Linked DNA regions of Drosophila melanogaster. The protein of the gene in region 1 interacts with the protein of each later gene in a pairwise test. Each region holds a gene or a part of one and is shown in the gene's direction. Other genes may lie near its edges. The genes, in order: ATPsynCF6L, to, CG10026 and CG11349.

Region 1 (7,005 bases):
CAGACTGTTAATGGATCTAATACCCCATATCCCGTATTCCCGGACTCCGTGCTCCATTGCAACAAAGACCACCCAATGGCACCCCCTTCTAAGCACAGATTTGGTTCGCTCTAATGAGCTCTGCGTGCAGCTTAAGGGCAACTGTAGCACGGCTGCTTCTATTTGCGGCACTTTGGCAATATGTGGCTAAAATTACTTGCAACTGCCGGCGGCAGGGTGCAGATACATCACCACCAGATGCATTTTAATTGGAATACCGAAACAGCGAGTAATAGCGCACATCGAAAAAAAGAAAGAATAGTAGGGCAAACAAAAAGGCGGCGACTGCCCAATTAGAAGCCTATTAGTGGTAACCACCACCCCAACACCACCCTCTTCCAATCGGAACTGCTCCATTGTTGCTGGCAATTTTACCAGGACGAAACAGAGCGCCCAAAGCGAGACAACAAATTATGCCAAATGGCTAATGAATAAATATCCGCAACCAGCACTCTACTCCCGTCCGCCGGATAGTTGGCATCCTTTGAGATGCACTAAAGAAAATGGAAGAGTGCCTGTAAGCCTTAATGATAAAATAAAGAAATCATTTTGGAAAAATATTCGAAATTCATTGAATATATAGTAACTTAAATAACTTGCAGGAATATATAAAACGCGAATTTAACATATAATACAAAATCATTTGTAATATCATTTAAAATTATTGTATTTTTTTGAAAACATTTGTGGTTTAAAACAATACAGTTGCACTCATGTTTCTTGATTGCAAAAAAGAATCTTTCTACAGACATTTCCATATTTGCAGCTTTTTTTTTTAATATACACAGCTCTATGATATAGGTTACAATGAGGTAAACGATATTAAAATTTAATTTTTTCCCCCTTTCTTTATCCTCTAGTTAAAAAACGTATTTATCATTTTTATTTGCCGCCGCGTTGAAGTTGCACTTATGAGAGAGCTCGGCGAAAAGCGCACACACGGGCAAAAAGCGGCAAATGCAGTTTTGTATATCGCTCGGTGCCTGTGTAATTGTATCTGTGTGTACTTTGTGGCATGCCACATAAACTTGATGCTGCTGCTGTGTGATATTTTAGCATTGAGCAGCTCTCAATCCCCCAGCATCGCATCCCGCAACCCCCTTCGCTCTCGGTGATATTTAAATCCTTGTTCCTACGCAGGGATAGCTGTTACGCCGGCAAGGACTCGACTCAGTTGGCTTTTGTATGCGCATTAATGCAACGACTCTCATGTTTATTCACACACAAATTTGCAGCGAATACAACGCACAGAGACTGCGGTGATAGCGGGATGCATTCACAATCCCACACAGAACCCCGGGACTCGGATACACTCGCACTTGGCTGAAGCAATCTGCTGGCAAATGCGCTTTACATTTTGCACACGCTAATACAATTTAATGGTCGCATTAATTTGGCGCATCTGTTGCATTTTAAAACACGCACACACAGCCACATCATGTACGAACACCCACACAGTTACGTGGATAGACTGGCACACAGATGCACAGATACACAGATACACAGATACACAGATGCACAGATACATATACACGTTCAAGGAGCGGCAGGCAACCGCAGGATACTTTGCTCACTTTGTTGTCGGCGGGGGAGGTTAAAGCATTTGCCAACTGCAAATAAAGTTGCGCTCAGCTAAATATTAATTCTAACCAAGTTAGGGGAAACTACTTTAATGGCGGGGGCGTGGCAGCCGCACAACTGCTTAATCCTTAGCTCTGTGTAGTAGTCGGAATGAAGATTGAGATACATGCGCTCGGCACCAGACAAAAAAGACCTGATATATGCCACCAGCAGGCAATAACCGTTTCACGTCTTCTTGTTTTCGCCAATGAACGCTTAAACTATTGGTGCACCGAACAAAAATACTAATAGAAATAGGATCGCAAGTATGTTGATAAAACAAGTTTCAATATTTTAAACACAGATAAAAAACCTCTTAATATTTATAGTTCAACTCAGTTTTTTTGACAAAAACTTATATTAGTATTTGTATTAGAAACTTGATCGATTCAAAACACGTAGGACGACAGCCAACCCTCTTCATTGGAATGTCAGATGCGTGGGAAGTTTGTTATTGCTGCCAATTAGGTTGCCATTCTGTTTGTGCCAATGTTTGCATATTATTTCTGCCCAATTTGCATTGATGCAATATTGTCCATGTCCCGCGCAGCGCTCCCCCCTCCCCCCCCCACACCTCGTTCCACTACATGGCGGCGTCAAATGCAGAAAATGTCAAAATTTAAATATTGAAAGTGACGTTGGCGTACAAAAACCCCTCGTGTTGCGGGCGTTGCACTAAGCGGATAAGCGCTTGTTAAATTTTTAATGCGTTGCATAATTTTTAGTTCGGTGTGGATATTTTGCACACAATATGTACGTACTATATGTTCGTATATTTTAATTCGAGTGGCGGATGCGAAACGCAGCATGAGTGCTGGCTGCATTTGAAATGAGCCGCATGTGGCGATGGCCGATTAAGCCCGGTTTAGAAGCTACACATTCCTCATTTCGCACTCGACAATGATCCATTTATTTGCACTGTCAGCGATGGTGCGGGAGGGGAAAAAAGGTGAATGGAAATTTATATTAATTATAATTTTCACAGCCATGTCTTCCCATCAATTATCAGAGTTTGTCCGACGGCTCAGTTCTCTTTTCAGCTCTTTTCTGCTCTGTGCATTTAAATTTTTCCCCTGCAAAGTCCTTGATAAACATTTTTCAATTAATTTTTATTTGCTGCCGCCGACATTTCTTTGTCCACACACGCGCATATATTTATGTATCTTGCTGCGTGCACATAAGCAACAGCAACAGCAAGTTGACGGCAGCAACATCATCGCCTTTATGTGTTTCACGTATTTCTTTAACGGATTTCCACTTGTCTCACTTTTTGAGAAAAACTTGTCGAGATGGCACTCGCATTGTCAAGCCCACTCACACACAGACATTCGCAGATACGACGAGTCAGACAGAGAGAAAATCTTACACGCTCGGGAATAAAGGAGAACGGGCAGCAACGGTGCGTAAAAATTCGTCCTGGAGCAGGGAAGCACTTCAGATGCGTTAGCCCAAAATGCGGGGTTTGATAAACGCAAAAAATACTCAAAATAAAAGATATAAAACGTTTAAAAATATAAATTCAAATCTTAAAAAAAGATGGCTTACCTGTTCTGAAGACAATGATTTTATTTTAATTTTGAAATCAAATTACCCTTGAGTAAGATATCTCAGAATCATATTTTATCGCATAGAAACAGTATCGTGTCAGCAGAGAACAAAACTAACAAAAAAATGTTTAGCCGTTTCCTAAAACCAAGCCTAGTTTTATGTAGGAGTGTGAGCAATACCGCATCCCTTCGCTACAAGGATCCCATTTATCAGATTTTCCTGGACAAGGTGCGCGAGTATCGGCTGAAGAGTCCCAAGGGAAAGCCCGTAGATCCTGGTCCGGAATTCGAGGCGGAGCTGAAGGAAGTCACTGAGCGCCTGGCTCTGCAATACGGCGGCGGCGAGGGCGTGGATATGCTCGAGTTTCCGAAATTCAAGTTGCCCGATATTGATATTGATCCCATTTCGGTTGATGATCTGTAAGTTACAGTTAAATTGGAAAAAGTTTTTATAAAAATATAAATATTTACTTAGACCAGAGAACCAACCAAAGCCTGAGAAAAAGAATAGAGATAAAGAAGTAAAGGCCAAAGAAAAGGGTGGGGAAAAAGAAGTGAAAGCCAAAGATGGCAAGAAAGCTGACGAACCAAAGGGCAAGGATGAAAAGGACAAGATAAAGTAGATCATCACTAAAAATAATCGTTTTAAATGTTGTTAAAATTTTCGCACAATTCTTAATACTTTAAAAATTATAAAATGTTTATGTTAAAAGAAAATGAATTTAAATGCCTGCAGATTCGAGCTACCCGTTTGTAGCTGTTCCAGGATAGAGCCGAAAAAAGAACGCACCGAAATTTTTATTAAGCACATACATGCATAAGCAGCACTCACACACACCATGCTTTTACCATGTTAAGTAATTCCTTAAACAACACAACAGGTCGCCGCCATTCGCATGGCCTTGTCCCTCCCCTTGGTCCTTCGTCCTTTGGCGCTCCCGCACGCCCCATCCCACCCACTTCCATTTTTTCCGTGTAACTGACGCTGAGTGGCAGACACACAGATACTCACACAAGCAAATTGAATTTAATGCTTTCTGCTGTTGCTCTTGATAAAACGATGGCAAGCGAGAGGAGGCAGCGTGTAAAGGACGAGCGTGGGAGCGAGAAAAACAAATCAAGAGACGTCGCGAAGGAAATACAAGCCAAACGCACAAATAAATACGCACAAGTACATAAATTTAAATTATTTTCGTGGCCTGGCCTCGCTTTCATTTATGCTTTTTTATTTTATTATGCCGCTCCGCTACAGTCGGCCTCAAGGATCCAAAGATCCAAGGATCCGGCATTTGACTACGGTCCAGACGTCCTGGCACACTTTCTGAATGCCATACGAGTGTCTGGCAGTGCGGTTGTATCTATACCCGTTGTATCTGTGTCTATATCTCTGGTACCGTTGCTGTTAATCTGTATCTGTAGCTCTGTGTCCTGTAACTGTGGCAGCGCATCTTCAGCTGTCTCTTAGCGAACTATGCGCCCGCATCGAGCAAACAACTACACCAACACACCGAAGACGTCCTTGGTCCTTGTGTAAGGCATGTTAACTGGGATTTGACAGCTCGTAAATAATATTTCGCTTGTTTGTTGGCTCGGTACAACGAGAGCAACGTCTTGCACAAGGTTGAAACAAAGACAGTGGTCTGAGTTCCCAACTTTATCTTTTTGCCTAAAACAAGGTAATATTCTTGTATTAAACCTGAGGTTTTATACATTTAAATGGCTTCTAAGTAGTTCAATTAAAATAAAATTAAAATATTTAATAATCTCTAATCACAAAGGAGCAGCGTTTAATAATATCATATTTCCAATCTTTGGTAAATCTAAATTATTACAAGAAAAACTGTTTTATTTAATTATATGCATATATTTTTTATCATAACTTTTTTCTTCTCATATCCGCTCATTCCTTGACATTTTCAACCACTGTGACCTATTCGATGGCAGCCATGTGAAAACGAGAAACGCATTTCATTTTTAAGCTGCTCCTTCTTGGCTCTGCTTGTTAAACAGTCTTTTTACATGACATGTGTGGGCGGTGGTTGGTTGGTTGGTTCATCCGGAGAGTCAGATTCTGATTCGAATGAGATGCGGTGGCTGGATGCTGGCTGGTTGCTGGCTGTCCTGGCATGTCCCGATTTTTCGGGACCAGGCCGCCACTCTCATTATGCGCACTCTCCTCGTTGCCGGCTTATTAAATTTTCATAAAGCACAGGCGCTCGTAAAAATTGTGCTCGGCCGCTTTTAAGCGCAAGTGGATTAAGATTAAAGCTTCAAGGAATATGACTTCAAAGGCGGACGAGCCGTAATTAAAGCCATGAAAACTGTCCGCAATTCGATTGCCGAAAACTGAATTAAACTGCGAACTCGACCGCCCAAGAAATAAGAGAAGTTGGGAAGTTAAGGAGAAACCAGGAGAACTGGAAACCACAGAAGGACTTGGGACTTCACCCACCGGATCCGCTCAACTGGAAGAAGATGATGGCGATGACGAGGCGGTGAGAGATATCTAAGGTCGCTTTCCCGCTTTTCTGAACCACACACAGACACATGTCTGTGGCTCAAAAATATATGTGGATATATATATATATATATCTGGCCGCTGGCTGTGAGAAAAGTGAAGCATCTTGTGCAATGTAAACGAAACGTAGCCGATAAAAATAATACGAGAGGCAATTTCGATTTATTGACAGGTGCTCGACTTTATTGAAACGTTTAACTTGAAAACCGATGCGAAAGGAGGCTCGCTCCATACATATAGATTTATGTATGTAGTAAGTGAGCACATGCAAAATTGTGCAAAACGATAAAAATTATGTGAATTTCGTTGTGATTTATCGCTGTGAGCCGGGGCGGCGCTTGGGTTTTATGTGCCCAGATTTATGGCTTCTTCGCCTCGCCCAGGATGTGCATTCGAATTTTGGACAAATTTAATTACACTTTTACCTTGTGTGTCTTGTGCGGATCAGCCACGCACTATTTGTCATTTTGTCCGAGACCCATAAATTCCGATGTGCATTTAATTTTGCCGAGCCGCACGTACGCATCAATGCCTGGGCATTATTTAATAATGAAAATTGAATAGTCCTAATTCAACCTGATGACAAAGTGGGTCCAGGTGGATATCTATGTGTGTATATGGTTTGGTATGTGAGTGTGTGCAGGACACGTGCCACTTGAACACATACGCACTAACACAGGATATACGGGATACACAGGACGCCCCTCCAATTGTGGTTTTCCTTTTGTCGCTTCCGTTTCCGCATAATTTTTGCAAGCGGAAAACTTGAGAGCGCTGCGCTAACAAAACATTTGTTAAAACGGAAGACGGCAAACGCAGACAAAGGCGATGGTTTACCGGCAAGATAGAGCACTAAGACCCCCTTTAAGCTTACGTAATTCGGTATCCCGAACTCAAGTCCAAAATACAGGAACTGCGAAATGCGGGCACGTACATACAAGCAGGTGAGCAGGAGAGCTGGTTAGCCGGAGAGCACCAAAAATGCCCAAGTTCCACTTCATTTTCCCGGAGGCGAGCGCTTCACAAAGGTTGCATGTGATTTGTGTCAGCGGCGGAGTCGCGCTCCAGGATACGTTCCAGACTATATATTATGCCGCCGGGCGACAGTTACAACAATAAACCATTTCGGATTCCTCCTTGTCTTGTCGCTCGTCCTGTGCCCCCTGTTATCCTTCTGTTGGTCCTGCCACATTCACATCCCCATCCACGCACCTGGCCAAAAGGGCTGAGCCTGAGCCGTGGTTCGTAATGAACGATGCCTGGCATTTTCTTGTTATTTTT
Region 2 (7,928 bases), on another chromosome or scaffold:
GGTAGGTTCCCAATTCCAAGTGCTGATCTCAAAGCAAATATGGGATGAATAATATCATAAGCCAATAAGTACGAATTGATATTTGCACTTTATTAAAAGTGTGAACAAAGCGCGGATTCCATTTCACGGAGTTTGAATCTATAAAAAGTACACAAGATGCCGAAATATAGTGCAAATTATATATGTATAATTAAATTATATATATATATAATGCATTGCAGGATAAGTGGAAATATATTGGTTAATTGCTTGAAAACTGACTGGATTGAGCATTAAAATTTTGAGTTTCGCTGCCTTTTGTGCGCGTTGCCATTGTTATTGTTTATTGTTATTTGTTGCTGCATGCTAATAATATTAATTAATAATAATGCTGCTGCCAATTCTGGTTAGGGGTAGCTGCGATAAAGATAAAGACTGCGATGTCTATGATGATGAGGAGAATCCATAACACGAAGCGAAAGAGATATACACATACGAATAAATAAAAAAAAAATATAAATAAAAATAGCCAGCAATCAGACAGACAACAACAACAGCAGCAGCAGCAACAACAAGAAAAACAAGGGCCAAGACGCGACAAGTCAGGAATGAATAAACTATGAAGTGTACTGGTTGTTGTTGGCCACATTTGTTGCCGCTCCATCGTTCTGGCCGATCAGAAATTTTATAAATGCCGCCGTCTGTCCAGAGCCGATTTACAGTTTGCCATTGAACCTGGTCGGGCATTCGCCAAATCGTCGAGCGGTTGAATTTCGGGGCGCTTGAATTTCGTACGTAACTAGATCCATATCCAGAATGATGCTGCTCCAGCTGGGCTGCGTGGCCCTCTTCTGCTGCTTGGTTAGCGGTGCCTCGAATTTCCGTGAGTCCTTTGGCCAACAATCCCAGTGCTTCGCTAATCGCCAGCTTATCCTTGCAGCTCCCGAACTGCCGCGCTGCCACATGGGCGACACCAGCTGCATCATCAACGTGTCGCACATGCTGATCAGACAGCACGCGAGGACCGGCTATCCGTCCGCTGGATTCCCCCAGGTGGAGCCCTTCCTGATCAAGCGCTTCGACATCTCCGACGGACGCACTGGCTCCCTGAATCTAAAGCTCAACTTCAGGGACGTGAATGTGGAGGGCCTGTCCAGTGTGAAGTTCGACAGAGCCGTGTAAGTAGCAAGTGAAATGAAAAGTGATTTCCTTCTTAAGCAAAAGTGAAGAAGTTCTCATGTTTATTAACAGAAGAAGATATATTAAGTTGATTGCACTTATCCATCATAATCGTATTTTTCAGTGGCTTTGGCGCTGATCCTGCAACCAGCAAGTTTGAGATGTACGGATCCTTTCCCAAGATCGTGCTGAAGGGCAAGTACGTGGCGGATGGACGCATCCTGATCCTGCCGATTCGTGGCGATGGCGATGCCGAGATCGTGTTGCACAATCCCAAGTTTTCGGTGAAATTCAAGCCGGGCACACAGCAGCGCAATGGACGCACCTACCTGAGCGTGGATAAGCTCAAGGTTCTGGTGGAGCCACAAAAGTAGGTGCAGTTCGGATTTTAGCTGAGATATACTAACATATTTGTGTTCCCACAGGATGAACATTCGGCTGGAGAACCTCTTTAATGGCGACCAGGCATTGGGCACCAATCTGAATCAGTTCCTCAACGACAACTGGACGGAGGTGTGGAACGAGCTGCATCCCTCCATTCATGTGGCCATCGCCGAGATCATGAAGAGCGTTCTCTCGCAGCTCTTCAAGCGCTTCGCCTACGAGGATTTATTCCTCGAGAACTGAGCACTAGTCGTCCTAGTCGCCATCAGGCGCCCTAGGACTTTAGGCTAAGTGTACGAGTATTTCCTCACCTATCCAAGCTATTCTCACTCACATGGGGCGTTGCATTCCGGCATTCCGGCCATTGACACATCATCATCGTATCATCGTATCTGCTAAGCTAAGCTTTAACTTGTAGAATAAACAAAAACATTCGAAAAAAAACTGGTTCTGCTTCTGCGGGGGGCCATTGTTAGCTAAAACGTGGATCTCACTATTTCCGCACAAGTGTCGCATACACTTTTTGTTTCATTTTTGGCCAGCAATCAGCAATCAACAGGCAGCTCACGTGATGGAACGATTGATTCGAAATTTGCATGACAAAGGCATTATTGCTAAGGTGACTATACTTGTGGATAAAAGCGTAGTTATACATACGCTTAAAGTATTAAAACATCCAACAAATTGAAATAAACACCTTAATTATTATGAGCAAATACTTTGTGTCTTAAAAAAGACGAAGATGCATGCTCCTACTACTACTCCTACATCCTGTGCAACTAATTTAGCCCAAAGTGCACTAAAATTAGTATATGATATGATGATATGATATATGACTAAGATCTGCTTGTCTTAGAATCAAGAACTAACTAAATGGCAGTGCTATTAATCTGAACACAACTGTGCTGTCACTCATTGCGAACTCATTTCACTGTCCAAGTTCAAGAGTAGCCAACGGTATAGCTGCCATCCCGATCCCAGGGAATCGGACACCCAGTTGGCCTTGGGTCAGTGAAAATCTTCCACGAGCGAGCAATCAACTGCAGCGATTCCGAGCGAAACAAGTTGCTTTTGTTCTCCACGGGGGCTGGACTTTAAAGCGGGACACTTGGTCATTAAGTTAACCCAAAGTCTAGGACCTGTTCCGAGCTACTACTCCACCGCTACTCCTCCACTGCCCTTCACTTCGATTCGCAAGAACTAAAGCCAACTAAAGAACTGGTGGTCACGATGACTGCGTTGTTTTCGCATCTCAATTCGGCTATATTTGGAACTGGCCCTTTTGTGAGTTGCACACTTGCCAGTTAACTTTGTTAAGGGAGAACTTAATACCATGACTTTTAATTGGACATAATCTGTCTGATACTTAAATTCATTGAGCGGATTTTCGATGTAACTGATTGATGAAGATTAAGGTGAATAAGAAGATTTGCTACATGATCTACTTGCTGTCTAAAGTGCACCCAAATGAGGTGATAAACTAAGGCTTGTATTGAAATTAGAACAACGTTTTCTTACCTAATACCATCAGATGATTCAGTTGCTATTCGTTATTAGTTGATGATTCTGAAACGAGCTCTGGAATTGACAGACAGACGGTTACGGCACAGATAAGAGCTATATCAAAGGTTGCCATTAGACGTTATTTGAGTTGCACTTAGTGGACCACTATAAATACTAGGCGAAAATCCCGTTCGTATTCAGTAACTTAAAGTTATAGACGTGTTAGCATGTTCGCAATCGCATTCGCAGTGGTTTTGTGCCTTTTGGTCTCGGTGGATGCCAAATTCCGTAAGAGAAAGTCCTTTAAAACAAGACCTTGCCAATGAAGTAATAATCTGGGAAACCTAGATAGACACCTACCTCTACTTTTCGGTTCCAAAATAATCCTTTGTGTTCCTCACAGCCGAAGATCCAAAACCTTGTAAGTATGGTGATGGCGAATGTATCATGAAGCTGTGCAACACCCTGTTCAGCGAAAACTCGGCGGAGGGGGATCCTGGTCTGAACCTGATGCAGCTGGATCCGTTGAAGGTGGATCGGATGGTTATTAGCCAGGGTGAGAGCTCCAGTCCCGTGGGCATAACTCTAACCTTCACCGACAATCTGTTGTATGGGATCAAGGACCAAAGGATCGTCAAAGTAAAGTGGGTGCAGGAACAACACTTTGTTTGGATGAGAAGGATGTGATTCAACTTGCCTTGATCTTTGCAGGGGTTTCGGAAGGGATCTCACCGCCAAGCACGAAGTGAAAATTGTCACGAAAACCTTCTCACTCGTTGGACCCTATAACATCCAGGGCAAGGTACTCATTCTACCGATCAGCGGAACTGGACAGAGTAACATGACAATGGGTAAGCTATGCCAATTGATTTTTCAGATTTCGAGGAACTAAAAATCCTGTCCAGTTAACGTCAGGGCAATCGTCAGCTTCTCGGGCAAACCGCTGGTGAAGAATGGGGAGACCTACCTGGACGTTACCGATCTGAAAATAACGATGAAGCCGGAGTCCAGCCACTACCATTTCAGTAATCTGTTCAATGGGGACAAGGCGCTGGGTGACAACATGAATGTCTTCCTCAACGAAAACTCGGAGGCCATTTACAAGGAGACGGCCAAAGCAATCGACCGATCCTTTGGCAAACTTTACCTGGGCGTCGTCAAAGGTGTGTTCTCCAAACTGCCGTATGCCAAGTTTTTTGCGGATGAATCGTGAGTTAGCTCTTCAAAGTGGGCAGAGTCCACATAAAGATACTAGATCATGTTGTTTGCGTACTGACAGATCTAAGTTTTGAGGCTAGCAATCATCATTAGGTTTAATGGAGTTCGTGTTTCGCGTTTGAAAGTGAGAACACAAGTAACTACTATTAAGCCATCTCAGCTAAATAATCTGTAAGTGTTGTGTGGCAATAAAAGTTACATATATGTAGTTAGCACATTGTAAATTATTTATAAGTGATACAAAGAATTCTGTAAAATACCATAAAAACATTTAAAACTATGACCCATTATTAATTAAGTTACAGTGAGTGGAACCCTATAGATCAGGTTGATCCAAAAGATGAAGGACCGCCTGAAAGTATGTGTTATTCGCGCGCGGAGATTCCGAAAGGCAGGGAATATCTGTAACTGGAAAAGGCAGTTACATTAAAAAAAAGCTTGATAAACAATCTTTGTTGACTTAGCCATTAATTAGACGTTGAAACGGGAATTAATGTGCGTTTTGGGGAAGGCCGATCCAATTTGCATATATCGAGCAAATTGCACCCAAAACGCGATTAGGAGCGATTGAATGGGACGGGGTCGATGTCTGGCTTGGGAGTTGGGAACTTGGGAGTTCATTAAAGGGAATCGTAAAATGAATTCGCCGGCTATAACCAGCCACTTTGCCATACAGCCAGCCTGCCGGTTTCGGTTTATAATCCATTTAACTGACTCAACTGCCAAACGGTCTAAAGTCAAATTCTGTGCGGCTGAAACGCAAAAGCGGTTTACGGCAACAAAAACATGATACATTTCAATTGACGAAAGTGACTATATAAGTGTTAACGCCCGCGGCTAATGGATCAGTACTCGATTACGTTCGCCGCCAGCAATTATGGAGCTAACTCTCGCCCTCGTCCTGCTGTTCGGATGTGCGTCCACCTACGGACACGCCTCCGATTTCCGTGAGTTGCACACACCCCCTTTCCGTAATATATAATGTTTATGTATATTTCACAATCGCCACGCCCCAATTTACAGCCTCGGGCATCGAGAGGTGCGCCATAATGGACGAGCAGTGCCTGGAGGACAGGGTGAACTTCGTGCTCAGGAACTACGCCAAAAGCGGTATCAAGGAGCTGGGCTTGATCCCCCTCGATCCGCTGCACGTCAAGAAGTTCAAAATCGGACGCAATCCGCACAGTCCGGTCAACATCGATCTCAGCTTCCACGAGATGGACATCTTGGGTCTGCATCAGGGAGTTGCGAAGCGAGTGAGGTGAGTGGATCCTCATTTCATTTTATGATCGCTCTGCTTACTACATTTTTCTGTTTCGGATTTTAGCGGATTCACAAGGGATCTCAGCCGCTCCATCGAGCTGGTCATGGAAGTTCCAGAAATAGGAGTCAGAGGACCCTACTCGGTGGACGGAAGAATACTCATTCTGCCCATCACCGGAAATGGCATTGCTGACATACGCCTCAGTAAGATTTGCCTCCCACAGCTTTGAAATCTAAAATTTTTAATGTGTTTCTGGAATTCGCAGCTAGAACAAAGGTACGTGCACAGATCAAATTGAAGCGCGTCTCCAAGGGCGATCATCAAACCTACGCCGAGGTGATGAACATAAAGGTTGAGCTGGATCCATCCCATGTGACCTACCAGCTGGAAAATCTGTTCAACGGCCAGAAAGATCTCAGCGAGAACATGCACGCGCTTATCAATGAGAACTGGAAGGACATCTTCAATGAACTGAAACCGGGCATTGGCGAGGCCTTCGGACTGATAGCCAAGTCGGTGGTGGACAGGATCTTTGGCAAACTGCCGCTCGAACAGCTCTTTGTAGTCTAAGACCTTAGTACAAACACCCTAATTAGTCCAAACACAAATCGTAAATATTTATTTGACTTTCAAAATACAAATGCAAAGCAAATAAGAAAAACTGGTAAGTTCCTCATACAAATAAAACGTAGTTGCAAAATAAATTCAGGCACTAAAGGATTTCTTATTTCTAAAGTTTAAGTAAAATACAGATTTATAAAAGTGAAAAGCAAACACATTTGTAGTTTTGCCAAATAAATGTAAACACAGTTAAACTTATATAAATTTGTTATCAATCTCAAAACAGGGGTAATAAATCGTTTTCATTTTGATTTTGTTTGTATCGATTTGATAAATATTTTTAAAAAGCTTATATAAGCTTATTCACGAATACAAATATGGAGTCCGCACTATTGGACAAATATATCTTACACTATAGATATGTTTACTTTACGAAATTATTGCTTCCCATGAGAAGAGTAGCTTTTTTAAATTGCATATTTGCTGTCATTCTTTTATCGATGTGCACAGCATTAGTTTAGCTTCTGAAGCGAGGTACACGTCCGGTGTGACGAGGTGGCGATGATGGCACTTCCTCGGTCTCCTCAAACTCCTCCTCCGACGCTGACGGCTGCTCCATGCTCACTGCGCCAAGCTTCTGTGGCCCGCAAATGGCGACAACACTGGGCGGGAAATAGGTCTCTGGATTGGCGATCAGAGCGGAGAGGAACTCATGCTGCTCCAGAACGCAATAGATCGGACCTCCCAGTTTGTATCTCTGGGCGATGAACAGATCCTCCGCACTGATTCCACGCGCTTCGGCCGCCCTTAGCTCGGCACCGGACAAAAGGATGGCCCGCTCGTTCAACGACTTGTGGCTTTCGGTCATGGCCCCGGAGTAGCGGTGCTCCAGATCCATTTCCCAGTTAAATACGTGCACACTGAGATGCGCAGCCTTGATCCAATCGCGCAGACCAATTAGCAATCTCTCCATGCGCTGAGTATGGACTGTAAATAATAAAATCGTTGCAGGAATAGCTGAATGGTTGCTTGCAAATCTACAGCTTACACTTGTCCGCATTGCTCCCCGAGTTTCCGTTTCGATTGCGCATTTTGGGCTTTAAAAGCAGTTTGAAGTTGTCCAAATAGGATGCGAAACCCTTAAGCAACTTGTCACACTCGTCGTATTTCTCGAAATCGAAGTGGCGATTCGCCTCCAAGGTGCGGCGCTGCTGGACAAGGAAGCGCTCTACTTTGGTGCACAGCACCTGCAGTTGGTAGCGCACATTCAAGCTCTTAGGCATCGTGCTCTTCACCGGCATATCGAACAGATAGTCCGAGGGCATTGAGTTTTGGCGCGAGAAGCCCAAATCGGCGGTCAGGTGATCATGCAGGGATCTGAACAGATTCATCAAACGCAGCACGGCGTTGTGCTCTAAGCTATTGTTTAGATAAGGAGCTTTTTATTATGTGATATATTTGGGATATACTCCAGAAGACTCACCAATCGCCGTGCAGACCAATCATATGCAGTTTCTCAATAGTTATGGGCAGTTTCTCAATATTATCCGCGGACGCAGAGCCTTTACTCTTCCGGTTCCACACATTTTCCTTCTGCAGTTGCTTCTGCTTTGGCCCGGTGACCAACACGCCTCCGGATCGCGACTTCTTGGCCGGAGAACCGTCGAATGCAAAATGGCGCGAGCGCTTTTGAATCTGTTGCAAGCAATCCAAACCGTGGAATTCGAGGAGTGGTGCAGTAACGTCACACAACCGGAGTCTACCGAAGTTCTCCTGGATTTCGGATAAAACGCCCGATGTGCAGGTTGCACCATCTTCGTTCGTATCCTCGTACTCACAA
Region 3 (8,280 bases), on another chromosome or scaffold:
TCGTCGTCCGTGTTCTTGATGTGCAAATCAATATAGTCCTTGAAGTTGCGTACACCCAGTTTGTTGCCGTTTAAGAAGACGGATACTCCCTTGGATGAGGCGGCCACATCGTAGGCGCGACGCGACATTAGAGCCACAATATCTTCATCGAGACGGTCCATCTTGAACTTGGCCAGATCGGGACTGAATGTGATGCGTGTGTAGTCAGTGCCATTGAAGTCCTTGATCTGTGGGTTTACTGAACATTAGATGATGGTCTAAAATAAGAAATGTTATTTCCTTACCTGCACATCGGAGGCTTTTCCCATGTTGTTTCCCCAAGTCTGCTTGAAACTTTTCTTGTATTCCCTCGTGGCAGTCTCAACGGTGAAGCTGGTGGAGAATATGTTGCAGAGCTTCGCTCCGTATCCGTTCCTGCCGCCAGTGACCTTCTTCTCATCGTCGTTGTAGTTCGACGAGGTCAGCAGATGACCAAAGATCATCGTTGGAACGTACATCTTCTGCTCCTTGTGCATGGTCACCGGAATGCCCTGGCCGTTGTTCCACACGGACACCATATTGCGCTCCGGATCGATGTCGATCTTAATGGTGTTCATGCTCTTGTCTCGCTGCTTGTTATCTGCCGCATTCACAAGAATCTCGTCGAATATCTTGTAGAGGCCGGGCACGAAAGAGATCTCCTTCTGCACCATGCGGTTTTGGGAGTTGTCATACACCCACATCAGCTCCTTGGTGAACTCCACGGATCCGATGTACGAGTCGGGTCGCAGCAGGATGTGCTCCAGCTGCGACTTCTTCTGGTACATCTGTTCGATGGACAGGGCCTTGTTTCCGTTCTCCATGATGCTTCTGTCGCTGTGCTTTAGCTGAATCTTCAAAGAGTAAGCAAAAGGCATTTGTTAATGTAATATTAATATTAATAACTAATATTCCGAGCCATTGCCTTAGCTACTATTAATCACTCGTCCTGCGTTCTACTAAGTAAAAAAAAAACCAAAGCTACTAGCAGAAGACTACAGTACCCACCCAGTTAACAGTTGCTATTAGTATATTAGTAATATTATGTTCACGTTTTTTTTTTAATTGTTATAATACCAAATAAGATAGATGGCACCCAATATGTTTAATGGCCTCTTAATAACGGGGATGGTTGTGCGTTGGCATGTGATGCCAATGCTGCTGATGCTGCTGTTCAACAATTTTTTATTAATGAATGCGCACTGTACCCACGGTGAAAAAAAAAAACAAAACGCGCGCCCGCGCATTGCGTAAATGCCGTCCAGACAAACGCTGCAATGGAATGGGACTTGGCCAACATGGGAAATGGTTGGGTACGTCAAACAGAAATAACTGCAGATAAATTGAAAAACGTCAAACTAAGTATTATTTTGCCTGGTGCTACTGTACTGGGAACAGATTTTCAGCACACTTTGAAATACATAACAGCCCTGTCTCTTTGGCGGCAACGCTTGGCGTGCGCCGTCTGTTGCGTGAGTGTGCGTGTTTATTGGCGTTTGCCGGTAGTCACCGCTATTTATTATTTCTTATTAAGGTTCTTCGAGGGGTTTCACTTTATAGTAAACAAATTCAGGCCTACATACGCGCTCCGCGCTACAAAATCAAAAAACTATGGTTTTTAAAGGCCCAAAATTAGCTAAATGTCTATACCGGTATCGCCATTTTTAATTTGCAAGCGACGCCACCGAAAAATTGCTATATCCATCATATTAAAGGATTAATTAGACAGGGCTCTTAGGTTCTACGGTACAGCCAATTCTACGATTATGATTCAGCACTTTCTGCTTACCTGGTTAAAAAATTGCCAAGTATTTGTGGCCTTTTCTTGCTGCCGCCGACAACCGAAGTGCGGCAAAACTCTATGTTGCAGGCGATACACGAGGCGGTGCACTACAATTTTCGACTTGTACGTGCCCCACGCGTCTGCTGCCTTTAGCTAAAACTTGTACAGTTCTCAACTAACTATTAAAATACGCACAGCACATTTAACAACTTTTCACAACCGACAACAAATGAGAAGTATTGCTGGTTTTAGAGCTGGCAAGGCGCACAAATCGATGTTTGAATGAAATCGCTATCGATAAGTCCCATAACAGTGTTGTTTGGGTTGGTGCATACGCTCATTGTGAACAGGGCTAAACTAGTAACTGCGGTCGGTGACTCCGCTAAAAGCGTGATCGCCAAAATCACGGTTTTTTAGTTCTATCTCAATCACGTGATGAGTTAAGCAACAGTTAATTCTAAAAAATTCGAAGGTAATAAATAATAATAACATTTTTGGGGTTAAATTCTTTTTCGAGTCGAAAGTAGGGGTTTTAATTATTCCAACTAACATTTCTTCTATTTTTTACATTATAAATCGGCATTGAAATAAATGTAAAAAAGATAAAATATTTCGATCTAAATGCAAATTATCAAAAATTTAAGACAAAGTAAAACCATTAAGAAATTTATCCTTTCATATGCTTAGTATTGTATCCCACATCAATGTGATATACAGCAATTACTTAAAATGAAATGAAATGAAAAATTGCTGCTAAAGTTGCATTTGTGCAATTAAATTTCGCACCGTTGAAGTGAAGATTGCTTTTCAATTAACCACCTGGTAATATGAATATTCCAAAGCCAAGACCATGGCTACAAGAGAACTGGTTTTCTTTCTGCCATTTTGCCTGACCTTGCCCAACACGACGTCATAAAGGGGCATGTCCCTCCCCATCCCGTTGCGATTTTCATTCCGGCTCAGAAACATGTTTTGAATAGTGCAAACAAAATATAAAGATTCTGGATTCATCCGAGTTACTCGGAATTTCTGCTTGGGTAATGGAGAACCCTTCACGCAGTGACGTCACCGGAGCTCATTGAACTTGCACAGCATCGAATATCGTCCAGAAATATTCTCTACTCCTCCAAATCTGTTGATTCTCGTTTGACAAGCATCAGCAAAGATCTCTCAATATGCGGAGTGCAGTTTGTACCCTGCCAAATTGGGAATTTCAGCTGATGCATGGGAAAATTGTGAACTAGCGGAGTTAAGTGCAGTTTATTCCAGGATACTATTAGCAAGTTGAACAAGATGTGAGCTAAAACTCCTAAGATTTGGTAAGATAAAAAGATAAACATAAGTACTACAATTAGCAATTAGTTTCTTTTTTTTTTTTTTGAATAAATTGTATGTATATGTATTGTTAATCAACAAATTTTACTTAATTGCGTTTTTAAGGGTGTTTGCATCGTCGTTTCATCGAGCTGGCTCTCCCTATTTTCAGATGCTGGTTTCTCGTTCTCGCATACTGGTTTATAGTCATAAGTGCTGCGCTTTTTCTCGACTTTTTCCATTGAGACTTGTGTTCATAAAATCTTCTGTTCTAAGCGATCCCCAGCTCAGTTTCATTCCAAGCTTCTGCGATGCCACTTGTGTGCGATCTTCGTTAAGTCGGATTCCCCGTACTGCAAGCTGGAAAAAATAGAAACCGTGACCAGAAACAGTAACCGCCACTCGGATTGGATTATTACCTGGTAATGAAAGTGAAGACCCCGAGCTAATGGGGCGATTTAAACAGGTGTTTAAAGGTGCAGGTGGGGCTGTGAAATAATCGCTTATTATCAAACACCCTAATGGGGGGCACTATTATTGTGATTATCTTGGGATTATCAAATCCATGTAGACAATTAACGACAACAATGGCGAGTTCATTAACACTTGAACCGAACTACGAGTATGTATGTGCTGGGACTTAAGCACTGCAATCAGGCGTACTTAAAAGTGCATAATGTGTAATTAGTTGGAATTTGTTGAATATGATTAAATATTGACCCAGGCACTTTGCACGGCCACCACGTGTGAAATTTGTGTGTGCTGCACTTTGAGATCGCGGTGGCATCATCTCACAGTATCTGCCAAATACGCGTCGAACTCACACAACGCTGCACCGCACAGACCCCAAGCGACCCGATTAGCCATTGGCGAACTGGGAACGCGGCGGATAATGCCTTATCAGGCAGTGGCTCCTCTACAATCGCGGGGTTCACTGGGGGCAAGTTTGGGTCTGGCTCTGCGTTTTGGGGTGTAGGGATAGGAATTGGGAAATCCGGCCAAGGCCAGGTCGAGGTACACCTAACAAGAGCACATATTTTGGGGCTGATGCTGAACACTATGCAATTCCAAGATTAAGCTAGCAATGTAACAATCGGTACTAACCCCCAATTAGTATATATTTATATTATATATATATATATTATTATATTATATTAATATATTTTAAATGATTTTAAAAATTTTAATGATTTCATTTTGCATACATTGTTTTGAAAGTGTACCTACCTAATGTATTGATTGCTGGAAACAACCAACCCAAAGGCAATGTTTCTAAAAACTAAGTGCAGCCAAAACTGAGTAATTGCACAACACTTTACTTATACTATATTGTTTATAATTCTTGTGGATTCCCGCTCCATCAATTAAGTACAGCAGATTCACTAAATTTAGCTCGAGCTCAGTGACACACTGTTATCACTCATCGGCTGTCTCCTTCGCGCTATCGCAATGTTCATTGTTGTTCGGTTTCTAGTTAATATTTAATGGTCGCATACACACTCGTACATGTTTAGCGACAAGTAAAACAGCATTTCGCCTGGGACTGTCACCACTTGGCCCGATTCTGGTTCCGATCGGGGGCTCAGTTTCACACTTGGAGTCGAGCGGATCACAGCCCATAAATGGTAACAACGAGAAATTCATCCAGCAGTGACATGCCAAATCTCTCTGAAATTTAAATGTCAATACGGGTGGCGAAATGTTGCTAACAACGAAACAATCGGGAACAGTCATATTGCGCTATTCTCAACTGGATTTATTTTTATTTACATTTTGCGCGAGTGAAAAGCGCTTATCAATGCACCACCCCCTTATGGCCACATTGTATCTATAGTTTGGGCTTTTTTTAGACGACCAGCAGTGGATGCCGCACCATGCCCACCATCGAGCACAAGCTAAACATCACCGAGGAGGAGGTTCCGGAGCACATCCGCCGACTTGCCCAGGAGCAGGGAGAGTGTCCCAGTTCCAAGGATAAGGTCATCGAACAATTCCGTAACTACATACTAGGTTGGTTATAGTCCGTTGTCTAAGAGGTACAAAGGTATTCATCTGAACAAAACCTCTCCAGAACATAATGAATGCCAACCACACAGAAGTGATGCGAAGTACCTGGAGAAATTCCTAAGAGCCCGCTACTGGAAAATCGAGAACAGTTACAAATTGGTAAGAAAACTTGGGGAAATCTTCATTTTAGTTTGCCAACAGCAAGTGACTATTTGATAATTATCTATTAGGTAAATGCAATAACTCATTCCCTTTCAGCTCTGCAGTTACTACAGGTTTCGGGAGCAGAACAAAAGCTTTTATGAGAAGGTTCGTCCTCTGGACCTGAGACATGTTGGGCAATCGGACATCCTGACAGTGACTCCCTATCGGGATCAACATGGCCATAGGATACTCATCTACCGATTCGGACTGTGGCGACCCAATCAAGTAACCGTCGACGATATATTTCGCGCCACCATTGTCCTGCAGGAACTGGGCAGCCTGGAACCCATCTCACAGATTGTCGGAGGAGTGGGAATATTCGATCTGAAGGACCTGGGCTTGGAACACATACTCCACCTGAGTCCCAGCGTGGCTCAGAAGATGATTGCTCTACTAGTGGTAGGATAACTACTTTTTATTATTTTCAATAGCTTTTTTAACCTACACTTGGCTTGCAGACCTCCATGCCCATTAGAACATCCGCCCTTCATATTGTAAATCAGAATTGGGTCTTCAACGCGGCATTCAAGATATTTAAACCTTTCCTCAACGCCGCTATGCGAGAAAAGCTATACATCCATGGCAGTGACATGACTTCCCTGCACAAACACATCAACCCAGAACATCTTCCCAAGCGGTAAGTAAAATGGTTTTTTTTTTTTATTAAAATAATTAGTCAGATATAATTAAACTTATACTATTTCAGCTATGGTGGCTTGCACGAGGACTACTCTTATACGCTCTGGTTGGATATGCTGAAGGAGCAGTGTTCGGGCAATAGTATCCAAAAGGATATGGAGCAATTGGGATTCATCTTTGACTAGGCTTCATGCCTTGTTTAAAATGATATGCTTGATACTTGTATTTTTGTACTACATATATGTTAAGTAATGATACCAGAATCAATTGAAGCAAAGTAGGTGATATTTTAAATATTAAAGAATTTCGAAAATTACTTCTACGCAATATTACTCACCAAACAATTCATTTGAGTTTCGTTCCCAACAATTTGAGGTTAGAAGCGGCATAAACCGTAATGCTTCATACATTTGGCGGTCACATCAATGACCCATCGGCTATCACGACCAAATTCGGGGCAAAAGGCAATAATAATTTGTTCCTAACCGAATCAAATGGCCCGGCTAGCCCGCAAAACATTCGTTTCGGTTAGGATGTATAGCATATTGGTCCTTTGAGTTTTATGCGATTCGTATGCAAAATGCGTTAGGTGCTAGAGCGAGACAACTGGCCACACGACCATTCGCCGTTATGGTAATTGAGTGTTGGACAACGCATAAAATGCAGTCGGTAGCCATAAATATGTTTGCACTCGTCCTGTCACCGGATGTGAGCGAGAGGGGAGATCGAGCTCGACGAACAGAAGGAGGGTGCTGGAGATTTCGATTCCTCCATCTGACCGTTGCGAATATGTTTGATATTTTTTATTGAATCCCGTTGTCTCAACGCTATCCTCCGACCCCCGGAAGTCATTGCCGTCTGCGTAAAAAACGGTAAAGAATTACTTTCTCGACTTAAAGTTACTCTGTATTGTCAATTAGGTTTCATGGTTAAGATTTAGAAATTTATATATGGTTACACCCAAAGCTTCAGAGTTTAGAGCATATACTATATATAAACTGAAATTAAGTATATATAATTAAATGTTTGCTTTCGGTTAAAAGTATATTGCTTCACAAATTTTTTTCGTCCAAGTGCAGGGTGTCCAAAGTCAGAATCCTGCCCCCTCTATTCTCCGCAATGGCCTTGCTTTTCCGTTTGGTCAACGATAGTGAAATTGATTTCGGTGCTACCGGGGGTCTAGGTTGGCATTATGCGTATTATGTGTATGTGGCTCGATTGTGGGGATGGGGGTGGCCATAATCTGTGTGCGTGCTGGACAGCTGTGTGAGTGCGTATAAAGGACAGCGACATTTGTGCGATTAAAGCGACAAGATTAAAAAATTTATTGCGCAAATATTTATGGGGGGACAGTAACACAGTGGCAGTCAGAACGGAAAAAACATTCGGACAAAAAACACACATCGCATAGCCTACATTTGGGGGGCACGACCGATGCGCGTTATTAGTTGGCTTTTTGGCATTTCGGCTTTTGGCTTCTGGCTTCTGGCAACACGTGTGTGAGGCGAAACCGAGCTGGACATAATTTATGGCTGGCAAACTGAATTTATTCGAGTTTTATTGAAAAACAAAGAAGGCGGTCAGAAGGGGCAAAGGATTCGTTTTCTTCAACATGTGCTGTCTTTTAAGTAGCCAATGTCTTGGGGATTTCGAGATACACATAAATATATCATTCCGAGGACGACAGAAATCTTTTTGACCAGTAACTAAAGGAAAGTCATTACAAATTGAGCAAACGAGTATCCAAAACCATTTAAAACCACTTAGATAGTTCGCTGGATTATTAACTTTAAAGGGAACCATAGTTGGTACTTGTTTGATTTCTAATTAGTGTCATTGTGTGTCTCTTCTATTAGTATGCTCTGAACTCAATTTACTCTTGAAATAACCTCCGATTTATTATTCCGTAGACATGCAGAAAGCCAAATTCCCCAAAGAACTTCCTCAATTCGAACTCATCTGCTTCCGCATCTCACTTCCGAAATTGGCCATATTATCCAGGAGACACATTTGAGGGCGTTCCCCGGCTGTCAACTGTCACCGAAGGCAGTGTCAAACTGACAGTCGTTGACATCCGTTGACAGTGTACCTGACCTCAATTTTTCCCTCTCTCCCAGAAGATATGTTTGCAACCCTAAACGGATAATTGCTTCCTAATGAGCTGGCAAGGGTGACCCCGACCGAATCAACCCCTCACTCACACCCCGTTTGGGTTTCCTTATCACCGAAGGCGGTTTATCACGCGGCGATTGGCAGGCAGATCCCAGGCCAAAAGCAAAACACAATAGGAACAAATAAATTATGTCCAGCGATTT
Region 4 (8,477 bases), 540 kb from region 1:
TCGTGGTTCGTGTCCCGGCTTACTCTGTTACGGCAACAGAACACAGTTCTTTAACAGTGGCGATACAGACAATTGAGCAGAACACGAACTAGTAAAAAAAAACCCGTATTATAGCTCTTACTGTCTGAAATAAGTGGGTATACTAGGTTAGATGAACAGTACGTAACACTAGAAGTCTGCTCAATGAAATATGTACGCTCTTAATTAGGAGGACTAGGACCAGGGCAGAATCTGACTGTGCTAAGGAACGTCAAAATGTGTTAATAGTATTTTGTTTAGGTCAGCAATAACAATAATAATAAAAATTTAGTTCGTACCCATTACTCGGGCACTGAACCGGTATGGGAATACGTATGAATCATCTATCCAAAACAGTACTATGACCATACATCGAAACAAACTGAATCCCTAATCCAATTATCCCTTAGATGGAATCTTTATGCGTTTATTAGAAACTCAAATTAATAAAAATACGCATTTCAAATTGCGTCTTATTAATTAACTCATAGTATTGCAGAAAAGTGAAAGTATTTACCAAACCAGATTTATGGACTTGGCGAGCTACTTTTATTTAAATATTTTAACTCAAATTGATGCGAGCAATTGTTTTATGGCTGACATGGAACCTGCGTCTGGACTACTGCTTTTATTTATGGTTCGCAGTCGTAACCGCATTTCGCCAGACGACTGCAATCAGAATGACAATACCGATACATATGCAAAAGATATACCAGCTGAATGTTATTAGATATACTATATATTTGGGGTTCTGCCCAAATTGTCTTATAAATACCAAATGTTCTGCTCGCAAAAAAACAGTTTAATTGTTCGACTTTGTGTGATCAACATGGTGGGTTTCAATCGGATTGGATTTAATAATTGTGAGATTAATGGAAAATTTTTCTGCCCAGCGTGTCCTCTTCTTGCCTTTCGCAGTGGCTCTCTTGGGAGTGGTCGGTGCCACTTCTCTATCCAGGACCTATTTGCCGCCTCAGGTGCAGGTGGTGCAACCCCAGGTGATCTCTGTTCCCAGGGTTCAAGTTCAACCCCAGATCATCGAGCGTCAGGTGGTTCCCGCCCCTCTGGTGGTGCCACAAGTGGTTCCCGTTTATCGTCCGTCGCCAGTGGTGCAGATAGCTCGTCCTGCTCCCCAAGTGATCTCCGTGGCTGCGCCTCGTAACACCTATCTGCCACCCCAAGTGATTAGTCGCCCCGCTCCACAGGTGGTGTCCATTGCGCGTCCCGCTCCACAGGTGGTGTCCATTGCGCGTCCCGCTCCGCAGGTGGTGTCCATTGCTCGTCCTGCTCCACAGGTGGTGTCCATTGCTCGTCCTGCTCCACAGGTGGTGTCCATTGCTCGTCCCGCTCCAGAGGTGGTGTCCATTGCGCGTCCTGCTCCAGAGGTAGTGTCCATTGCGCGTCCCGCTCCGCAGGTGGTGTCCATTGCTCGTCCTGCTCCACAGGTGGTGTCCATTGCTCGTCCTGCTCCACAGGTGGTGTCCATTGTTCGTCCTGCTCCACAGGTGGTGTCCATTGCTCGTCCTGCTCCGCAAGTGATCTCGGTGGCTGCTCCGCGCAATACCTACCTGCCGCCACAAGTCATCGCTCCTCGTAACACCTACCTGCCGCCCCAGTAAGATGCCTCATCATCCGAAACAACATTTCTGAGCAACCACCAACTCAACTGGTTTGTGGTTTAACCCACAACACCAACTATATTCGAATGCTAATTCACCATCTTGGCAAAGAAATGCAAAAATACATTTAATAGGTTTATTTGTGTGTCTGACTTGATACGATTAGCATATTCTCGAATTAGCGCAAAAGAGACAATAAAGAAAGCTCAGAAAGATAAACAATAACATTGTTTAGACTCGAGACCATTGGAGGGCGTCAATACAGATCAGATAACGTGATTATGCAAAAAAGGGCACCATATGCCATTAACCCCAAGAGGAAATGTTTAAGATACCTAATACCTTGGGAGTCGCGATCTTGAGGCTTCTCTGAACAATTAATCAATCAGTCCATCAATCGAGTTAGCGGAACATTAAGTCATTAGCCTGAGCAATTTGTTTGCTTTAAGTGGATAAGGTATACGGCTGACTAGATAGTTTATGACCGGCTAATTGCTATACTTCTTGTTCTGGATCGATTTAAAAATAGCTCTCTGCTACTGTTTCTATTAACCCAATATCGGGTTTAGTCTTAGCAAAAGCTTGGGTGAATTAAAAAAGCTCTTCTTCAAGACGAAACCAAACTATCAGGTTTGCGATAAAATTGTTTTGGCAAAAAAATTAAGCTGTGATACGTGTATTCTTATGAATATTTATATTTAATATGACAGCAAAAAAATGAGAGTTTTAAATCCAAACTCCATGGCGTACCTAACTGATAAAAACAAGCCCCATATGGCGTCGTGGTCGAGGTATCTGTTTGCCCAATTAAACAAATTTTTCGACGCGAAGAAAAACGTTTCGTTGATTTATGATACTCAGCACTTCCGTTTGGATCCGCAGATTCTCCGACTTGTATAAAAGTACAGGAGTCGCCGGTCTAAGATATTATTCGGTTCGTTGCTCCTAAAGCAAACAGATCATCTAAAATGGTAAGGATCTCCCATCTGTATTGCGGATTATATTAGTTGGCATATTATTCTATTTCGATTTTTCCCTGTAGAAATTCTTTATCTTGACCTTGGCCGTGGTTGGCTGTGTGGCCGCCGAATCTGGCTACAACTACAATGCTCCCCGCCAGGTAGCCGCCTCTGCCCCGGCTCCTGTTTTCCAGCAAGCTGCCTCTGCTCCGGCTCCAGTGAGGACCTACGTGCCCCCAGCTCCAGCTGCCTCTGCCCCAGTGCAGTCGTTTGCCCCTGCCCCAGCTCCAGTAGCTGCTCCTGCTCCCGTTTTCCAGCAGGCCGCCTCTGCACCCGCACCAGCCCGCACATACGTGCCTCCCGCTCCCCATGTCCACCACCATGCCGCCGCCTCAGCTCCAGCTCCCGTTCAGTCCTTTGCTCCTGCTCCAGCTCCCGCCCCCGCCCCCGTGCAGTCCTTCGCCTCTGCTCCAGCTCCTGCTTTCGAGTCCTCCGGACCGGTGTTCGAGGCCGCAGCTTCCGCCCCCTCTGCCGCCCGCTCCGGATACGATTATAGCCAGCCCGCCGCCAGCCAGCAGGGATACAAGTACAAGACCGTCCGTCGCCGTGTGTTCAAGCACCGCGCTTAAACGATGATGATGATACGATAAAATGCGACAATAAAAAACTCGAATATTAAATTTATAAAAACATAGTTTTATTTGAGCATTAAAACACTAATAAAGATAATATGATAATTTGATAATTAAACAAGAATGATATGGTGTATAGTTTTAGCAAAAGAAGCGCGCAAAAAAAAAAACTATAAAACCTAAAACAACATTTCAAAAGTGCTAAAATTCTTGCTAGAAAAGAAAAAAAAAATCGCAAAATTAAATTTTATTAATAATTGTTAGTTAGTACTGGAGTGCAGTTTTTCTTATCCATAACTAACAATCAGTTGTTAATGATAAATTAGTTTGAAGCTTCAATTGTATTACTAGGCCAAATTCACACCTGGAAACGAAGTTCAAAGAACCCATGCGTTATCGCATAAGTGTGCAGCGCACTTGGGCCAATAAATTTAAACGCTTTGATCTGACAAATTTACGGGACACTTTCGTTGTGCTTCAGAATATTCAATAGAATTTAAATTGGCGGCTATTCAATAAGAACAAATGGGTCACATAAAGCGCGGAATCGATTTCTCACGCTCGGCAACAGGTTTCGCTTTCAACTGTGGTCTTTTTTGGGGGCTCGATGTGGGGATGCAACAAAAAAGATCCCGAAGAGAGTATATAAGTTGCATCTACAGCTGCTTACAGTCACTGGCACTTTAGCAATGGTAACGGATCAACGATAGGTTCTAGGTTCCGCATTTCACCAATCCATTTTTATTTTAGAATGTCCTCGTGATCCTGGTTCTATGCCTTATGGCAATCGCATGTCTGGCGGACGTTTCCCATGTGAAACACCACAAGCACCAGCGGCATCATCACTCCAGGGATCACGAAGATGACGATGAGGAGTCCCATTACCTACCTCCCCACGAGGAAAAGGAGGTGGAGCAACCTTTTTACAAGAAGGAGAAGCACACCAGTGAAAAGGTGGTTTACCACAAGGTAGAGGAGCACGAGGAGCCCAAATACTACAAGGAGCATCAACATGAAGAGCCCAAAAAGCAGCGAGTGGATCACTACCATCACTATGACAAGAAGCCAGAAGTAAAGACCCAGCACATTCACTACAAGCATAGCAAGCCCCATGTCCGTACGGATTACAATCAGGACTTGTTCACCCCAGCTGCTACCCAAGTGGTTTATCGCCGCCGTCGTCCTAGTCGAATTCTATACGCCAGTGCCCCCAACTCGGTGTTCCACACCCACACGCAGATCAACGTGCAGTCCCAGGATTCGGAATTGAATTCCCTTACTCGCCCAGATCGTGCAGCAGGAGCACAGGATCCTGCTGGGGCTCAAGCACCGACTGGAGCCCAGGCACCAGGATTTCGACCCAACTGCCAGTTTGTTGGACCTGGAAACGTACCACCTGGCTGTGGACCCTCTGATCCCATAGGTGCTCAGCTACCAGCCAGTGCTTTGGCTCCCACTGGTGCTAATCTTCCGGCCAATCAACCTGTTGCCGGCGGACAATTGGCTGTTCTGGGTAACGGTCAGCGACCTCCACGTCCAGGTGGCTATGGAGGTGGATATGGCAACCGACTCAACTTTTTTGTTGATCCTTCGCTGGGCGCTCAGCTGGGAGCCATAGGTAATGCTGGAGCTGGAAATCAACAGGCTGCCGGAGGAGGTCAGCTTGCGGGAGGAGCTCAACTTGGAGGGAGCCAAGGATTCGACCCTTCCTTTGGTGCCCAAGCAGCTGCCGGAGGACCATTTAACACTGGTTTTGGAGCTGGTCAAAGACCTCAAAGACCTGCGCAAAACCAATATGATCCCAACCTTCAGCTAGGTGGCCCTTTTGACCCCTCCGTGGGTGCTCAATTGGGCGCAGGTCAGGGTGTTTCTAACCAAAGACCAAGTGGACAGGGAGCATTTGATCCTTCTACAGGTGCTCAATTGGGCGCAGGTGAGGGTGTTTCTAACCAAAGACCAAGTGGACAGGGAGCATTTGATCCTTCTACGGGTGCTCAATTGGGTGCAGGTCAGGGCTTTAACCAGAGACCAAGTGCACAGGGAGCATTTGATCCTTCGACAGGTGCCCAACTTGGAGCTGGACAAGGCGTGCCTAACCAGCGACCCAATGCAGCTGGACCAGGAGCTTTTGATCCCAATCAGCGACAGTCCGACCCCTCCATTGGAGCCCAATTGGCAGCGGGACAAGTACCACGCCTCAACAACCGACGACAGCGCAATCGATCCAACTACCAGGGTCTCAATGTGCTGAATGGAAACGTTTTCGGACAACCCCATCTCCAGGGACCCACAAATGCGCTGGGAAATCAACAGGACACCAACATCATAGACGGCAACTTCTACAGCGATCCTCATCATGGACACCAGCGGGCTTTGGTATCGGTTAATCCTAATCAGCGTTCAGTCCTTATACCCGATGACGATGATGCGGACGATGATGGGCAGCTAGGATTTCTGGGCTTTGCGGCTAGTAACAAGCAGTCCTCTTATGTGGTTGCTCCCAAACAACTGCGATCTCATAGGCGCAGTTCAAAGCGAAACAATGTGGATCTTAAAACATCTGCTTCGGAGTACGACACTGACTATCGTGAGGATGGCTATCACTACCAGAAGCCCAAACAGTCATTCGAGTTTTAAGTATTTTAAAACAGAACATATTATAACATAAATTAAATCATACTTATCAGCATTTGCTACAAGAGCATACCAAACAAACCTTGATTACTTATTTAAAGCATACTTTCAGGCGAAAACTATGGCGGCTACTTCCGTTTCCGCTCAAGGTAGCTTTAAAGTTTGTTGAGAAATCGACACGGGTTTTCAAGCTGAGCTTTATAAATTGAGCTTTTGATTAAGCTTTACACCAGACTACAAATATCTATATTGCACATAAAAATATCCAGATATTTACCAACTATGTATATTTGATTTTTTTGTTTGCCTTTAAATTACATACATTAACATAAATATACACGTGCAAATAGATTAGGGCATTTATGTTCTGGCCATATCTGCGATTGCCTTTGATGGAAAAGGTGTATATATTGTCCATTAGGGTACGCGGAAAGGAAACTAGTTCAGAGCTATATAGAAATAGAGGCACAAAGACATTTTTTTTATAGTGAGAGAGGCAAAATGAATTGTCGACATAAATTTATGCAATCATTTAGATTCGATTCTCATGCAAATCCAATCAACTGAAATCAAAATAGAAATAAAACAAAATCTATTGTTTCACCAGGCAGCATATCTTGGCCAGTCGACTGCATAGAGGTGAGCTGCCCAAAACACATTCATTGGATCCGTTTTTGGCCCACCTCATTTGTGACCTATGGATAAAAGGCTGCGTGTATGTTATGTTTTTGTTATGATTATTTTTTACTCAGACTGAGGCGGGCCTTAGTAATGTTTAAATTCGGCAATCAATGTCAATATTAGCGAGTGGACTCCTAAATCAAATGTGGGCAGTCCACTGCCGGCATGTGCGTCTGTTTTTTGGCCAACTGTAGGTCAGAGAGGATTAGCCTTAGCCCATCTCGTCGGCTCGTGACCCAATGCACCGACCCATAGAAACCTATTAGCTGATCCCCATAAATCAGCGCACTTCTCCTGGTGAAATTGGCAAGCTTAAGAGAGTCAAATGACCGCAGCAGGGCCTTCAAAAAAATGTCTACAAGTAGCATTAAATTAAAATAATTTATGGCAAACTTTCGGATCAAACTCTACGGAGGAGCTCGGCTCGGCATAAAATTAACGGAGACCGTTAAAAGCCCGCTGATTACAGAAATAAATTTCGGATGATGTCTGTGCGAATTTCGCGGGCTTGTGGCTATGCAAAGCGAGTGAGTGGGTTCAAAGTGGGGCTGCTGGAGTTCAATGATCCGGTGCCACCCGCCTCTTTGGCAATTATTGCTATCAAACATTATGAACCATAATTTTTAGGCTTTCCCGAAGCACTGCGCAAAATCAGAACTGAGAATTTTCAGAACAGTATTAATTTTTCAATTTAAATTGTTCTACTAAATAAGAATCGAACAATTTTAATCACTAAGGCAGTGAAATATAATTCAATTAATCAATTAATTTAATTATAATCAAAAGTCATTTATGTATGAAATATATCGAATGTACTCTGATTTCTTTAGGTGTATTTATTATTTAATGACTTTCCAGATGGCCAACATAGAGCTACAACTCTGTACTGAAAGGGTTCTGAGTTTCGGGATCATAACTAATCCGATCTCATGTAACTCCGCCTTGCGTCATCCGTTAAACATAGCCTAAAAAAATCGACGAGCATTCGATGCTCGGATGATTAATTTTCAGCACTTGGCAGCCACATAATTAATTTTAGACAGCCCACAACCGAGAATACATATTCAAGAACGATCGCACTTTATTTTCTATCAGCCATCAAACAGAAAGCCCCTCGATGAGCCGCAGGCAGCCCCAAAATAAGAATCGAATTAGAATCAGAATCAGAATTACATGAAAGGAACTTGCCAAATTTCGGCTGCCACGCGTTTCCATTATTTATTGGCCACGAGCCGAGTGTTAAAAGTGTGCGGAATTTTATTTTTCATCTTTTTTGTTGCCCTGTTGCTTGGCGTTGATTTTTGTATATTTATAATTTAGCTCTTTTCGGATTTGTTTTGTTTTTTTTTTTTTAGAGCTCTGGAGATGCGCTTCATGACGGTGGTGGCACTTTCTAGTCGCCGGCTCCGAAGAGTGGGGCGATTTGAAAACGGGTTTCCAGAATGATTTATCATATATTTTAGTTAAACGAAAAAAGAGCATAACAGGCTAAAAGAACGTTAAGTTTATCGTAAAAGACTAAAACGTGTACTTGGCTAGTGAGTGTTAGAGTCTTTTGAAACAGACTTTCTTTTACGCTGTAAAAAAAGCAACAGACTATATTTTATTTGATAAATTTTGATGGAGAGCAGAAACATGTAAAGAAATTGTTCTAAAATTTAATTAAGATAAATACAAATAAAAGAAACATAAACTGTTAATAAATACCTTTACTTCCCAGCCAACTAACCTTGTAATATGTAATATAATTTTGATAATAATACGATGCCCTTACCATATGCAAGCTTTCAGATAAGATTCCATTTTATATAAACTACAATGCGGGATAGGGAATCCTCCCCAATTAGAGTATCTTGAAAACTAAATTAACTAGCGCGTGTGACTATGCCGGACAAAATACAAAGACTAAGACAAAGGAAAGGCGGCAGCCACGA

Evidence for each region.
Region 2: the proteins of ATPsynCF6L (region 1) and to interact in a two-hybrid assay, tested with the Drosophila melanogaster proteins (one large-scale study listed by BioGRID).
Region 3: the proteins of ATPsynCF6L (region 1) and CG10026 interact in a two-hybrid assay, tested with the Drosophila melanogaster proteins (one large-scale study listed by BioGRID).
Region 4: the proteins of ATPsynCF6L (region 1) and CG11349 interact in a two-hybrid assay, tested with the Drosophila melanogaster proteins (one large-scale study listed by BioGRID).

Annotation. Positions count from the first base shown.
Region 1 is NT_037436.4:5,008,421-5,015,425, reverse strand, and holds ATPsynCF6L (ATP synthase, coupling factor 6-like), read left to right. Parts: upstream 1-3,292; 5' UTR 3,293-3,330; coding exon 3,331-3,626; intron 3,627-3,681; coding exon 3,682-3,829; 3' UTR 3,830-3,982; downstream 3,983-7,005.
Region 2 is NT_033777.3:25,236,918-25,244,845, forward strand, and holds to (takeout), read left to right. Parts: upstream 1-3,262; 5' UTR 3,263-3,272; coding exon 3,273-3,333; intron 3,334-3,448; coding exon 3,449-3,689; intron 3,690-3,756; coding exon 3,757-3,896; intron 3,897-3,950; coding exon 3,951-4,258; 3' UTR 4,259-4,751; downstream 4,752-7,928. Other genes in the region: Jhbp7 (juvenile hormone binding protein 7), read left to right, coding at 796-862, 920-1,157, 1,283-1,528, 1,584-1,785; CG11854 (uncharacterized protein), read left to right, coding at 5,141-5,210, 5,287-5,524, 5,591-5,730, 5,793-6,097; bam (bag of marbles), read right to left, coding at 6,606-7,075, 7,137-7,507, 7,572-7,928.
Region 3 is NT_033779.5:19,451,444-19,459,723, forward strand, and holds CG10026 (uncharacterized protein), read left to right. Parts: upstream 1-4,234; 5' UTR 4,235-4,737; coding exon 4,738-4,740; intron 4,741-4,965; coding exon 4,966-5,125; intron 5,126-5,186; coding exon 5,187-5,281; intron 5,282-5,380; coding exon 5,381-5,725; intron 5,726-5,784; coding exon 5,785-5,963; intron 5,964-6,032; coding exon 6,033-6,150; 3' UTR 6,151-6,280; downstream 6,281-8,280. Other genes in the region: Top2 (topoisomerase 2), read right to left, coding at 1-227, 285-842.
Region 4 is NT_037436.4:4,469,160-4,477,636, forward strand, and holds CG11349 (uncharacterized protein), read left to right. Parts: upstream 1-3,908; 5' UTR 3,909-3,917; coding exon 3,918-3,920; intron 3,921-3,978; coding exon 3,979-5,865; 3' UTR 5,866-5,936; downstream 5,937-8,477. Other genes in the region: CG32249 (uncharacterized protein), read left to right, coding at 848-850, 912-1,637; CG32248 (uncharacterized protein), read left to right, coding at 2,606-2,608, 2,680-3,225.